Linked DNA regions of Saccharomyces cerevisiae S288C. The gene in region 1 interacts genetically with each later gene. Each region holds a gene or a part of one and is shown on either strand. Other genes may lie near its edges. The genes, in order: AGA1 and UBR2.

The links.
Region 2: mutations in AGA1 (region 1) and UBR2 together harm fitness more than expected from each alone (negative genetic interaction), as found in Saccharomyces cerevisiae (2 studies listed by BioGRID).

Annotation. Positions count from the first base shown.
Region 1 is NC_001146.8:701,763-706,539, reverse strand, and holds AGA1 (Aga1p), read right to left. Parts: upstream 2,842-4,777; coding exon 664-2,841; downstream 1-663. Other genes in the region: PET494 (Pet494p), read right to left, coding at 1-401; diphosphomevalonate decarboxylase MVD1, read right to left, coding at 3,455-4,645. UniProt on the Saccharomyces cerevisiae protein: Cell wall anchoring subunit of the a-agglutinin heterodimer.
Region 2 is NC_001144.5:186,921-194,967, reverse strand, and holds UBR2 (putative ubiquitin-protein ligase UBR2), read left to right. Parts: upstream 1-1,686; coding exon 1,687-7,305; downstream 7,306-8,047. Other genes in the region: ESCRT-III subunit protein SNF7, read right to left, coding at 1-516; IZH3 (Izh3p), read left to right, coding at 7,839-8,047. UniProt on the Saccharomyces cerevisiae protein: E3 ubiquitin-protein ligase which probably functions outside the N-end rule pathway, since it lacks the residues essential for the degradation of N-end rule substrates. Mediates RPN4 ubiquitination and subsequent degradation.

The DNA.
Region 1 (4,777 bases):
CTCAATTCAATATCTCGTGGCAAGCTGAGGGCCGTAGTCTCGAGCTCTTCTCTCTGTTTCGCCAGGCTCACCTGTGCCGCCATCATCTGCTCTTCGAATGCTCTTTCACTGCTGATAGTAACCAGCGTATTATACGTAACAATGCCCATAAATGCGACAATATTAGTTGTGACAAACATCAAATTACCAGGCGCATTGAAGTATCTCCACAGTGTACGCAGATATGGGAATGTATCACCATTACAGCTCAGGAGAAGTCCGTTTGTCCTTGTGAAGTTTGTCACTGGTTTCTTCCTACTTCGAGAAAAATGCATATTCGTCTTAGAGTTTACGGAATAAAAACGCTTCCATAAAAGTCGCCATACTGTGCTAATACTCCTCTTCCCCTTTTTCAAATGCATCGTGTGTTTCCACGCCTGCTCGGGTGCCTTTGCTGTCTCCAAGCTACTGTTGTTATCCGTTTGTTTTATACTTTCCTTATTTTGTAATTTACTATTGGATGTATCTCCCCGCGTGAAGTCACTAGAACGGTTTAAAATAAAACTTTAATAAATTTATAAGCGTCAGCAAATACATATCAATAGAGAGCGTTTTCATTACATTGTTGTATTTTTATTCGATTGATTGTATATGTTTATATAAATGAATTAAATTGTTCTGATATTAACTGAAAATTACATTGCAAGCAACTGCCATGATGGCGAAGACCAACTTTCCTAATGGCAAACGCGTTTGCGATCCACTGCCCATATATTGGCTAATTGTTACCATTGATGAAGTTTGGTATTGTATGGAGATTGAAGTAGTGGAAACTTCTGTAGTGGTAACAGATGTTTGTAGAGAAGAGGGAGCAGATGATGATGAGAGGAAAATAGAAGATACCGTCGGAGTCAATGATGAAGATTCAATAGTCGATTCCACAGAGGTAGATGGTGTAGAGATAGATGTTGCGGAAAGTGATGATGTAGAGGCAGATATTGTAGCAATAGCTGTGGAAGAAGTGGGTTGTAAAATCTCTGATGTTGAAGAAATTTGAAGTGTGGTAACTGGTGACTGTTCGACACTTAGTGATGATACAGAACTGAATAGCAAAATAGTACTGTCAGAGGATAATGTAGCAGACAAGGAGGAGGATGAAAGGACCGATGTCGATAATAAGTGTGATGATTGTTCTTGAGATTCTGAGTCAATGCTTGATGTACTCGTGGCTTCACTTACACTAGTCGAAATGGTTGAGGTACCTGAAGATGTTACATGATACTTACCGGTAGCGTGCTTATTGAAATCTTCATCCGAAGTTGTCATTGAACTTACCCAACTCTTTGTGGATGTGGTCTGCTGTGTTACAGAACTTGATGAAGCTGTTTGCACGGAAGAATACGAGTGTGACGTTTCAGCACATGTGGAGCATGCATATGAGGATTCAACCGTTGAGGTGCTTACAGAAGTTGCGACGTTTTTAGTGGACATTTTTATAGAAGATGTAATCAAACTTGTTGTCTGCGAGGGCATGCAAGACTCGTGAGTGCAGACTGTAGCGTCTGTTGTAACCGTTTCATGCATACTGGTTAATGTGCTAGTCTCAGATTCAGAGCTATAAGGACACCATGTCGTATACATTGTAGTGACTCCACTAACAGTGGTGAAATATGTAGACATGGAAAATGATGGGATAGTAGTAGAAATTGAGGATTTGGTGATATATTCAGACGAACTTTGTGAACTAACAGTTGTTTCAACAGTTGAAGAAGTCATAGAAGGAGTTGCAACATTTGACGAAGTCGAAGGGACGGAGTAAACAGGTGTGGATGGGCTGTATAATGACACAGACGTTGATGAAGATGCTATAGAGGAGCCAAGGGATGAAGTTGAATCAGTAAAAGTAGAGCTAATAGATGTTGAACTTGGAGAAGTGGAAGCCAAAGTTGGAGATGAAGAAGTCAAACTTGGGGATGTAGATGTTGAATATGAAGAAGTGGAAGTGGAGCTTGCAGAAGTAGATTTAGAACTTGGAGATGTAGATGTTGAACTTGATGAGGTAGATGTAGAGCTTGGAGATGTAGATGTCGAACTTGATGAGGTAGATGTAGAACTTTGGGATGTAGATGTAGAACTTGAAGATGTGGATGTCAAACTTGAAGATGTGGATGTCGAACTTGGAGATGTAGATGTCGAACTTGATGAGGTAGATGTCGAACTTGATGAGGTAGATGTCGAACTTGATGAGGTAGATGTAGAGCTTGGAGATGTAGATGTAGAGCTTGGAGATGTAGATGTCGAACTTAGGGAGGTAGTAGTTGGATTGGACGATGTTGTACTCGAAAGTGTAGAGGTGACAGGTGAGATTATAGAGGCACTTGATGGTTCAATGGCGCTGGATGATACCACGGTTGTAGTTCCTACTTCGGATAATGAGCTGATAGCGGTTGTGTGACAAGTAGGGCAAATATATGAAGTGAACTTGGAAGTCACAGATAAGGTGGTGGTTGGCAACGTCGATGACGAAGGACATGCCTCATGGGAGCAGACTTCTGTAGATAATGTCAAAGTACTAAATCTGGATAGGGTAGTAGCGTACGATATTGAAGGACTTATTTCGGCAGCAGATGAAGTGGATACCGTCAATGGACACCAAGTCGTATACAATGTCGTAGTGCCAGCTTGAACGATAGTGGATGTGGAGACTAGCGCGGGTGAAACTGTAGTTGTAACAACCCCATTTGCATCGTTTGTCTTGGTTATCGTCACTAGAATCGTTTCTGGATCAGATGCCAAGGCAATATTAGTTAATCCCAACAATATTGTGAACAGGTAGGTAAAATGAGCGAAAGATAATGTCATCTGAAATTTTTTGGTTTTTTTAGCTTTTATTGTTAATGCTCGCCGTTTTTCAAAGATGAACGTAAATACTGGAAAAGTTCACGATAATTATTGATGATAGATCATTATTCTGCGCTTATATACGTTTTAATTGCTTGCTGGGAACTGCTTATTTGCGATAGTCGCTTGTTTTAAGTCATTACTATGTTTTAATATTGTTTCAGAAAATTATGTTACAGCCGCGTTTTGACTTGAAACGTGCAATATCCAAAAAGAGACTTTACAATTGAAAGCTAACCTAAAATTTGAGAAGATATGTGACAGGTACCCTAAATGTAGATTGGGTGGCTGCTGAGATCTTTAAGTATGAAACGGGTGGACGTACTTGTGCTAAGTGGTGCTGTTAGACAGCTACGAATAAGGAAATTCCGAAGCATGTAGGGAGGTCATGATATGAAAAAGCAAAAGAGTAGGCATCAAAAAGTTTCTCATTCAAGTGGTAACTGCTGTTAAAATTAAGATATTTATAAATTGAAGCTTGGTCGTTCCGACCAATACCGTAGGGAAACGTAAATTAGCTATTGTAAAAAAAGGAAAAGAAAAGAAAAGAAAAATGTTACATATCGAATTGATCTTATTCCTTTGGTAGACCAGTCTTTGCGTCAATCAAAGATTCGTTTGTTTCTTGTGGGCCTGAACCGACTTGAGTTAAAATCACTCTGGCAACATCCTTTTGCAACTCAAGATCCAATTCACGTGCAGTAAAGTTAGATGATTCAAATTGATGGTTGAAAGCCTCAAGCTGCTCAGTAGTAAATTTCTTGTCCCATCCAGGAACAGAGCCAAACAATTTATAGATAAATGCAAAGAGTTTCGACTCATTTTCAGCTAAGTAGTACAACACAGCATTTGGACCTGCATCAAACGTGTATGCAACGATTGTTTCTCCGTAAAACTGATTAATGGTGTGGCACCAACTGATGATACGCTTGGAAGTGTCATTCATGTAGAATATTGGAGGGAAAGAGTCCAAACATGTGGCATGGAAAGAGTTGGAATCCATCATTGTTTCCTTTGCAAAGGTGGCGAAATCTTTTTCAACAATGGCTTTACGCATGACTTCAAATCTCTTTGGTACGACATGTTCAATTCTTTCTTTAAATAGTTCGGAGGTTGCCACGGTCAATTGCATACCCTGAGTGGAACTCACATCCTTTTTAATATCGCTGACAACTAGGACACAAGCTTTCATCTGAGGCCAGTCAGAGCTGTCTGCGATTTGTACTGCCATGGAATCATGACCATCTTCAGCTTTTCCCATTTCCCAGGCCACGTATCCGCCAAACAACGATCTACAAGCTGAACCAGACCCCTTTCTTGCTATTCTAGATATTTCTGAAGTTGACTGTGGTAATTGGTATAACTTAGCAATTGCAGAGACCAATGCAGCAAAGCCAGCAGCGGAGGAAGCTAAACCAGCTGCTGTAGGAAAGTTATTTTCGGAGACAATGTGGAGTTTCCATTGAGATAATGTGGGCAATGAGGCGTCCTTCGATTCCATTTCCTTTCTTAATTGGCGTAGGTCGCGCAGACAATTTTGAGTTCTTTCATTGTCGATGCTGTGTGGTTCTCCATTTAACCACAAAGTGTCGCGTTCAAACTCAGGTGCAGTAGCCGCAGAGGTCAACGTTCTGAGGTCATCTTGCGATAAAGTCACTGATATGGACGAATTGGTGGGCAGATTCAACTTCGTGTCCCTTTTCCCCCAATACTTAAGGGTTGCGATGTTGACGGGTGCGGTAACGGATGCTGTGTAAACGGTCATTGTGCTGGTGCTCACTGTCTGGGAATTTTCAATCTTGCATCACCATTACCAGCACGATGGATGCTCTTTATATATCAATCTTCGAGAAAAGGCTAAACGAGCCATTTCGGCGATTTCGGCATCGTGGAAAAG
Region 2 (8,047 bases), on another chromosome or scaffold:
TTGAGCCAGCATGTCCAATTCCTCGTCCAGCTCATCTTCATCCACCTCGTTTGCCCCAGTAATTAAAGGCCTGGATATAGCGTCGCTTATTTCATCTCCTAATTCGACTTGCTCCCTTATCTCGTCCATAGTTTCATCCACTTTATCTATGTCAAGGCCACTGTGAATAGTTTTCATTGCCTTAGCACCTTCCTGCATAGCCCTCATTGTCTCTAGATTTAAGTTTGCACTTTCTATAGAGAATAGCTGCTGTTCCATAGACTCCATTGTGCCTTCTACCTTACTTAAAAGTTGTTCGATTGTCTTCTTCTTTTTAAGTGCATTCTTCGCCATTACTTTATTGCCCTTCGTCAAAAAGATTCTAGCTTCATTCTCTTGATTTGTAATTTGAGTACGTAAATGCGATTGCTTTTTGGATAGAAGGTTGATATGCTCCCTCAACCGCACTATGGCCTTTGTTGGTGACTCTTTATTCTTGGCATTACTTGATGTCCAACCAAAAAGTGATGACCACATGCCTTATTTATCAATACTGTTATGTTTCTGCTGCTTCCGTCCGAAATACAATATCTTACCCTTTAGAAGCTCGTACTTCCCCTGCTCTGCCAACTATTCATGATTCGAAATCACCCACCGACTTATTTAAAAATCCCATCTTTTATCAAAAGGGTCGAACATGAATCGTATAAAATGATGCATATAACAAAAGCTATGTAGTATATATATTTGCTATTACTTACCAACATTAAGCATTGGTTAGTTACGGAACTCCATCGTTGTCGTTACTCTGCTCACCCCCACCTCAATAACTACTTTACATAAGTATGCGGCATATAACAATATGACAAGTCATCCTATAATTAAAAAAGTTAACTGTCACCATAGCATAACCGCCAAGCGCTAAATTAAGGGGGAAAGAAAAGAACGGTGTTGAACGCAAGCTATCTACCTCTTTCTTTGATGCGGTTGAAATATTATACTCGAATAACAACCATTTATAGAGGCGAAATCACTAGAATGGCCGGCTTAGTATAAACAATACCGAGTACGCCAATTTTATGGTACACAGTTTATACGTAATACTGATTTCCGACGAAGCCGCAATTGTAAGTCAAAACTTGAATTAATTAGTCTCACATGGCTGACATAACGAAGAATAAAATTAGGGAAAATACCGCCAAAATTTATCCCCCGTTTAGAGGAAGGTGATGACTCGACTCATCAATTTTCAATCTACATATAGCTACGTATTCATGCCACTCACTTCTTAGGATGTTAGATGTAACAAACCGAGCAATCATAAGGCCCATGTTATAATATTTGCGGGGCAAGTGTTACTGGTCCTAGATCCTAATTGCCCGTTTCTTCACTAGATGTGCAAAAAGCACACCATCACTTATCACGTTGTGGTGACAACGGCGGCAATTTCCAGTGGCGTTTGTTGAACTTTTAGGCGATATCAATAAAGAGCATCGTCAATGTACAGCTGTGGGGAGAAACCCAATAATCAACGCATTCATACTTTCAATTGCTTGGCATATTACTAACAACTCTATAAAAAAAAAAAGTTGCTCAAGCTTTTTAAAAAAAAGAGCCGGCTTTTTTTTCTAATTATTATCATTTACTCGTCTCTGATAGTAAAGGTAAGATTCGTTAACTAAATTAATAGCTACTTAACAAGCACGCATGGAAGATTCTGACCTGTCTATAACCAATATAAGAGATTTTCTTACCGAGCTCCCCAAACTCGCGAAATGCGAATATAGCGAAACCACTAGTTATTTACTATGGAAAACCTTAAATCTACGCCTTAAGCATAGTGATAACGATATAAACTGGCGCTCTCTCGTTTCAATACTCAATTCTGAAGCCTGGGAAAACGAAAAGTACAGAGACATACTAAATGGAAGAAAGTGGAGGACCCTGGAGTTCGAGAATGACCACCACTCTGTGGGTAATATGCATATTGGAACAGCGTGTACGCGTTTATGCTTCCCCTCTGAGACAATTTATTACTGTTTTACGTGCTCCACAAATCCATTGTATGAAATATGTGAGCTTTGTTTCGATAAAGAAAAACATGTAAATCATTCTTATGTTGCTAAAGTGGTAATGCGCCCAGAAGGCAGAATATGCCATTGTGGTGACCCCTTTGCCTTTAATGACCCAAGCGACGCGTTCAAGTGCAAGAACGAATTAAATAATATTCCTATTTCTAACGACAATAGTAACGTAACCGATGATGAAAACGTAATCTCCCTATTGAATTATGTTCTGGATTTTTTAATTGATGTAACTGTTTCATACAAAGAGGAGGCAGAAGCCCATTCAAGCGAGAGAAAAGCATCCTCCCTAATGCATCCTAATCAAAACAGCATTACTGATGATATAATGGAAAAACACGAATGTGAACCATTGGTCAATGATGAAAATTTTGTTTTCTTTGATAACAATTGGTCCAATACGAGAAAAGAAGCACATATGGAGTGGGCTATTCAAATCGAAGAAGAAGAGTGTAACGTACACTACATGGATTTAGCATCTACAATAACAAGAATTTTGAATACACCGGTTGAATATGCAATCTCAATAACGAAGGCTTTAGAAGATTCACACGATGTAGTGACTGTGCTACAAAGTGAGAATTTTTTCGAAATAGATCAAATAGCCAAGGAGTTTCAAAAGGAAAACATAGTAGTTCATGTAAGAAAAGCGGATGATATATTCAAGAGAAAGTTAACAGATGATTTAACAGATTGGTTATATTCTCTGTGCTTTAAGGCGGCCACGTCTTTGCAAAATAAATATGCTCTTAGAATTTCCATGCTAGATGTTTGGTATTCCCATTTTTCTAAAATGAGAGTATCTCCCACAAATACCAATCCTGACTTTTCTAAGATTAACTTATTAGGTGGATTCTTAATATCTAACGAAGATAGTGATGAATCATGGTTTAAACCTTGGTCATTAGAGAACATTGAAGACGAAAGAATTTCAAAAATACTCACTAATTACAATGAAAGGTTGATCAGAGCCCATTCGCCGAACACAGTAAGCCATTTCTACAATTTCTATGGATCTAGATTCCAATATATTATCATCAATTCTATTAATATCCTCTCAAAAAAATCTAAATTCAAAATGTTAAAGATCATGGCGTCATTATTCTCGTTAAGGGATGAAAGCAGAAAGTTTCTTGCCGCACAATATATTGATGTTTATCTATCGGTCTTGTATGATGCAGTTGCATCAGATGCTAAAGAATGTCAGGTAACTCTTATGAGTATATTAGGGCAATACACTTTCCAAGACCCCAGCATAGCAAATATGACTATAAGCTCGGGATTCATTGAACGAACTATTAGATTTGCTTTTACTCTCATGGCATTCAATCCAGAAGACTTGATGTCATATTTGCCCATCTCTTTATACAATGGCTTTAAGTTGCCCACCGAAACAATACGAAATCGAAGGACAATTATTTGCTTTAAAGACCTTTGTACGATAATGTCAGCGAACACTGTTCCGGAAGAACTACTTTCAAATGAGGCAATTTTTAACGCAATAATTGAGTCCTTCTCTGAATTCAGTAACGTGCTGCCATTGAAAAGGGAAACTAAAGAACACGTGGAGGTTGAAAACTTTGATTTTTCTGCATTTTATTTTTTTTTCTCATCAATACTAATAATGACAGATGGATACACACGTAGTATATCTTTGGTCAAAGATGCGGCTTTCCGTAAGCAAATCGTCCTTAAACTACTTGATGTTGCTCAAACCAGGGAATTTGAATCACTAACCAATTCTAGAAAAGCTATATCACCTGATAACGCATCAACGAATGAAAATGATTCGAACAAAGCGACTTTGTCTACAGTCAGAGAGACGATATGCAATTATGTCGCAGAGACTATTAATTTCCAGGTAGGTGTAAATACACAGTATTTTTTCAATCCAATGTCATATTTGTTCAAATTTGTTATTCAATGGAGTCAATGTGGTAGATATGAGCCAATTCCTGCTTCTTTGACAAACTACATTAATCTCTTCGAAGTTTTTCAAGATAAGCAGAAGGCTTTATATATATCAGAATCTGCTTTGTCAACCCTAGTCCTAATCGGGCAAATAAACGTCGGTTTCTGGGTAAGAAACGGAACTCCAATTACTCACCAGGCCCGGATGTATACAAAATACAGTATGCGAGAATTTACTTATATTAGTGACATTTTCAATGTGCAATTTAGTATGGCAATGTGCAATCCTGATGAACTGATGGTTACTTACCTCTCAAGGTGGGGTTTGAAGCACTGGGCAAATGGTGTACCTATGTATGATTATCCTGATACAGAAACAACTGTAGCCGTTGTTAATGAATGCATTCTGTTATTGATTCAATTGCTTACTGAAGTGAGATCATTGGTCATGAAATCATCAAAGGAAGGCTTCGAGAGAACGTTCAAATCAGAAATAATTCATGCCCTTTGCTTTGATACATGCTCTTACGCACAAATTGTTAACTGTATTCCAGAACATATCACCAAGCACCCTTCATTTGATATATATCTCGAAAAATACGCCAATTACACTTCTCCTGTAAGCTTGACTGACAATGGCATTTTCGTGTTGAAAGAAAAGTATAAAGATGAGATTGATCCTTATTATATAGGGTTGTCTTCCAGTAGGAGGTATGATGTAGAGAAAAATATCAGGCTGAATATGGCAAATTTGAAGAAAATGAAATATGAAGATACTTTTGTACCAGCAAAAAAGGTTAAAGATTTGTTGAAGAATACATTATTTTCTGGGCTGTATTCAATATCATCAGTGAATACTTTTGGTTTATTTTTGAAAAATACTTTAGATCACATTATAAAATATGATTATGACAATTTATTGCCGAGAGTGGTTCATTTGATTCATTTATGCGTGGTTAATAATCTGAATGAATTTATGGGGATACTGTGGCATGAATACGCAATTGTGGACACAGAATTCTGTCATTACCACAGCATTGGTTCTATCCTGTATTACTGTTTGTTGAAGGATAATTTTTCGGAATCTCATGGTAAGATTAGGGAAATTTTCAGGTATTTAATGGAAACAGCGCCTCACGTAAATGTAAACAGTTATTTGAGGGAGCAAACCACGTCATATACACCAGGAATATTGTGGCCTACAAAGGAAGATAAAAGCCACAAGGATAAAGAATTTGAAAGGAAAAAACATCTTGCTCGATTGAGAAAGAAAAAATTAATGAAGAAGTTGGCTCAACAGCAAATGAAATTCATGGAAAACAATAGTGTAGATACTTCCGATATTAGTACACCCAGAACCACATCACCTAGTTTATCTCCCACTAGAATAAATGCAGAGAATAGTAGTAACACAATCAACAGTTGCTGCGATGATGATTGCGTATTTTGCAAGATGCCGAAGGATGACGATGTATTTGTTTATTTTTCATACCAAGAACGGAACATATGTGATCATGGAATTGATTTTACGAATCCTACAGATGTTAATAGAATAAATTCGCTGTTCAGTGGTAAGCAAACAAAAGACAGTGCAATCCAAGAAAACCCCCAGGATGATGATGGAACGAGATTGAAATTTACTAGCTGTGAACCAGTATTAAGAGCATGCGGGCATGGGTCTCATACCAAATGTTTAAGTGGCCATATGAAGTCGATTCGCGGAATACAAAACCAAACTACAAAAAATATTCCATTATCGTATGGTTCAGGGTTGATATATTGTCCCGTATGCAATTCCTTAAGTAATTCATTTCTACCAAAAACAAATGATATAGATAAGAGAACTTCGAGCCAGTTTTTTATGTGTATTGAAAAGCGAAGTGAAGCGGAAGAAAACCTTGACCCAATGAGCTCTATTTGTATTAAAGCAGCGATGATTCTAGGTGATCTTCAGGGTAAAAAAGTCACGACTATCGAAGATGCATATAAAGTTGTTAATAGTGTTTTTATTAATACTATTTCAAATACTGAGCTCAGATTAAGATCGCACAAAAAGGAAGGAAAAATAGTGAATATGGAAAGAATATCCAGTCAGTGCATTTTAACCTTACATTTAGTTTGTGAGCTAAAGTCGTTTATTTACAAAAAATTTGTTAATTCAAAAACATTCAGCAGCGAAATCTCTCGTAAAATATGGAATTGGAATGAGTTTCTAATAAAGGGTAATAATGTGAATCTACTTTTGTATATGAGTCAAAATTTTGATAATATTGATGGAGGAAAAACCCCGCAACCGCCTAACCTATGTATCTATGAAATGTTCAAAAGAAGGTTCCATCAACTACTACTGTTGCTTGCAAGAGATATGATGAGAGTAAACTTTTACAAAGACTGTCGAAATAAAATCAAAATATCATCAAACGGATCTGAGGAACCATCGACAAGCTTTTCATATCTATTCAATACTTTTAAAAAGTATGTTGATCTCTTTAAACCAGACGACGTTCGGTTTGATTTTACAAGTTTAGAGAAAATTAAAGACTTTATATGCTCTCTATTACTAGAGTCATTGTCCATTTTTTGTAGAAGAACCTTCTTATTATTCAACATTCAGTATGATGATGATGGTGATGGTGATAATAATAATAACCGCAGCAATAATTTCATGGACGTCAAACAGCGTGAAATAGAGCTTATTTTCCGGTATTTTAAATTACCCAATTTAACTCACTTTTTGAAGGATTTTTTCTACAACGAACTAACACAAAATATAGAAAGGTATAATGATGGTAATGATAATTTGAGAATTCAGCAAGTAATATATGACATGGTGCAGAACATAAACACAAGAGCATATCCTTCACCAGAGCATATCCAGCTTATCGAACTACCATTGAACCTTTCCAAATTTTCCCTTGATAATGATGAAATATCGAATAAATGTGATAAATACGAAATCGCAGTATGCTTGTTGTGTGGCCAAAAATGCCATATTCAAAAAAGCATAGCACTGCAAGGTTATTTACAGGGGGAATGTACTGATCATATGAGAAATGGATGCGAAATCACCTCCGCTTACGGAGTTTTCTTAATGACCGGCACAAATGCGATATATCTGTCATACGGCAAAAGAGGTACATTTTATGCTGCACCTTATCTAAGTAAATACGGAGAGACCAACGAAGACTACAAATTCGGTACTCCCGTCTATTTGAATCGGGCGAGATACGCGAATCTAGCGAATGAGATTGTTTTTGGCAACATGATTCCGCACATAGTGTTCCGACTAACGGACGGCAGTGCAGATCTTGGTGGGTGGGAGACTATGTAGTTATCCAACAAATGTCTAGTCATTCAAAATTGCTACGAAATTAGCGTATCCGAAAAATCAAAAGAAATTTTATCTGTTTTAATTGGCGTGGGGAAGTGGGGTAGGGTCGAGGATCATTACGCTTTCTCGTGGGAAGGGACAGGGACGGACCGAAAAAAAAAGAAATGCCGCAGAAAAAGAAATGTTTTAGTGTGGGGTATGGGCTGAAGCTCGTATAGTGCAGGGTGACTTCACTTTTCTTTTTACCCTGCAGGAAATGGAGAAAGTGTTGATGGATAAGGTATATAGTCATAAGGTGACACAGCGTGGGTGTACATCTAGAAAGCTTGGCGATTCGAGCGAAGTGGTGGTTTACTCGTTTTATAATAAGAGTTTTTGGACATTATTTTTTCTTTAGGACACAGTTGATTCAAATTCTACACTTGTTTTGTCGTCTGGTAAAGTTTAGCCATTGTAAAGTGGACAAAGAAGAAGCTGCAACGCAGATAAGCTGAAAAATAGTTCACATCCCAACAGACAATCAAATTAAGTACATGATGGACTCGTCAAGCAAAAGCTTAACTCAGTATATACCCTCACCCATGGGATCTCTATCAAGGCTAAAGCAGAAGGGTGTGGACAATTTTCAGAAGGTGAAAAAATCCGGTAAATCCATCTATAATTACAACTACTCAAAATTCGTTCCTCATCCATTTTCAACTATTGATGAAAGTGTTAAACACTCTGAAAGTGGGCGGTATGA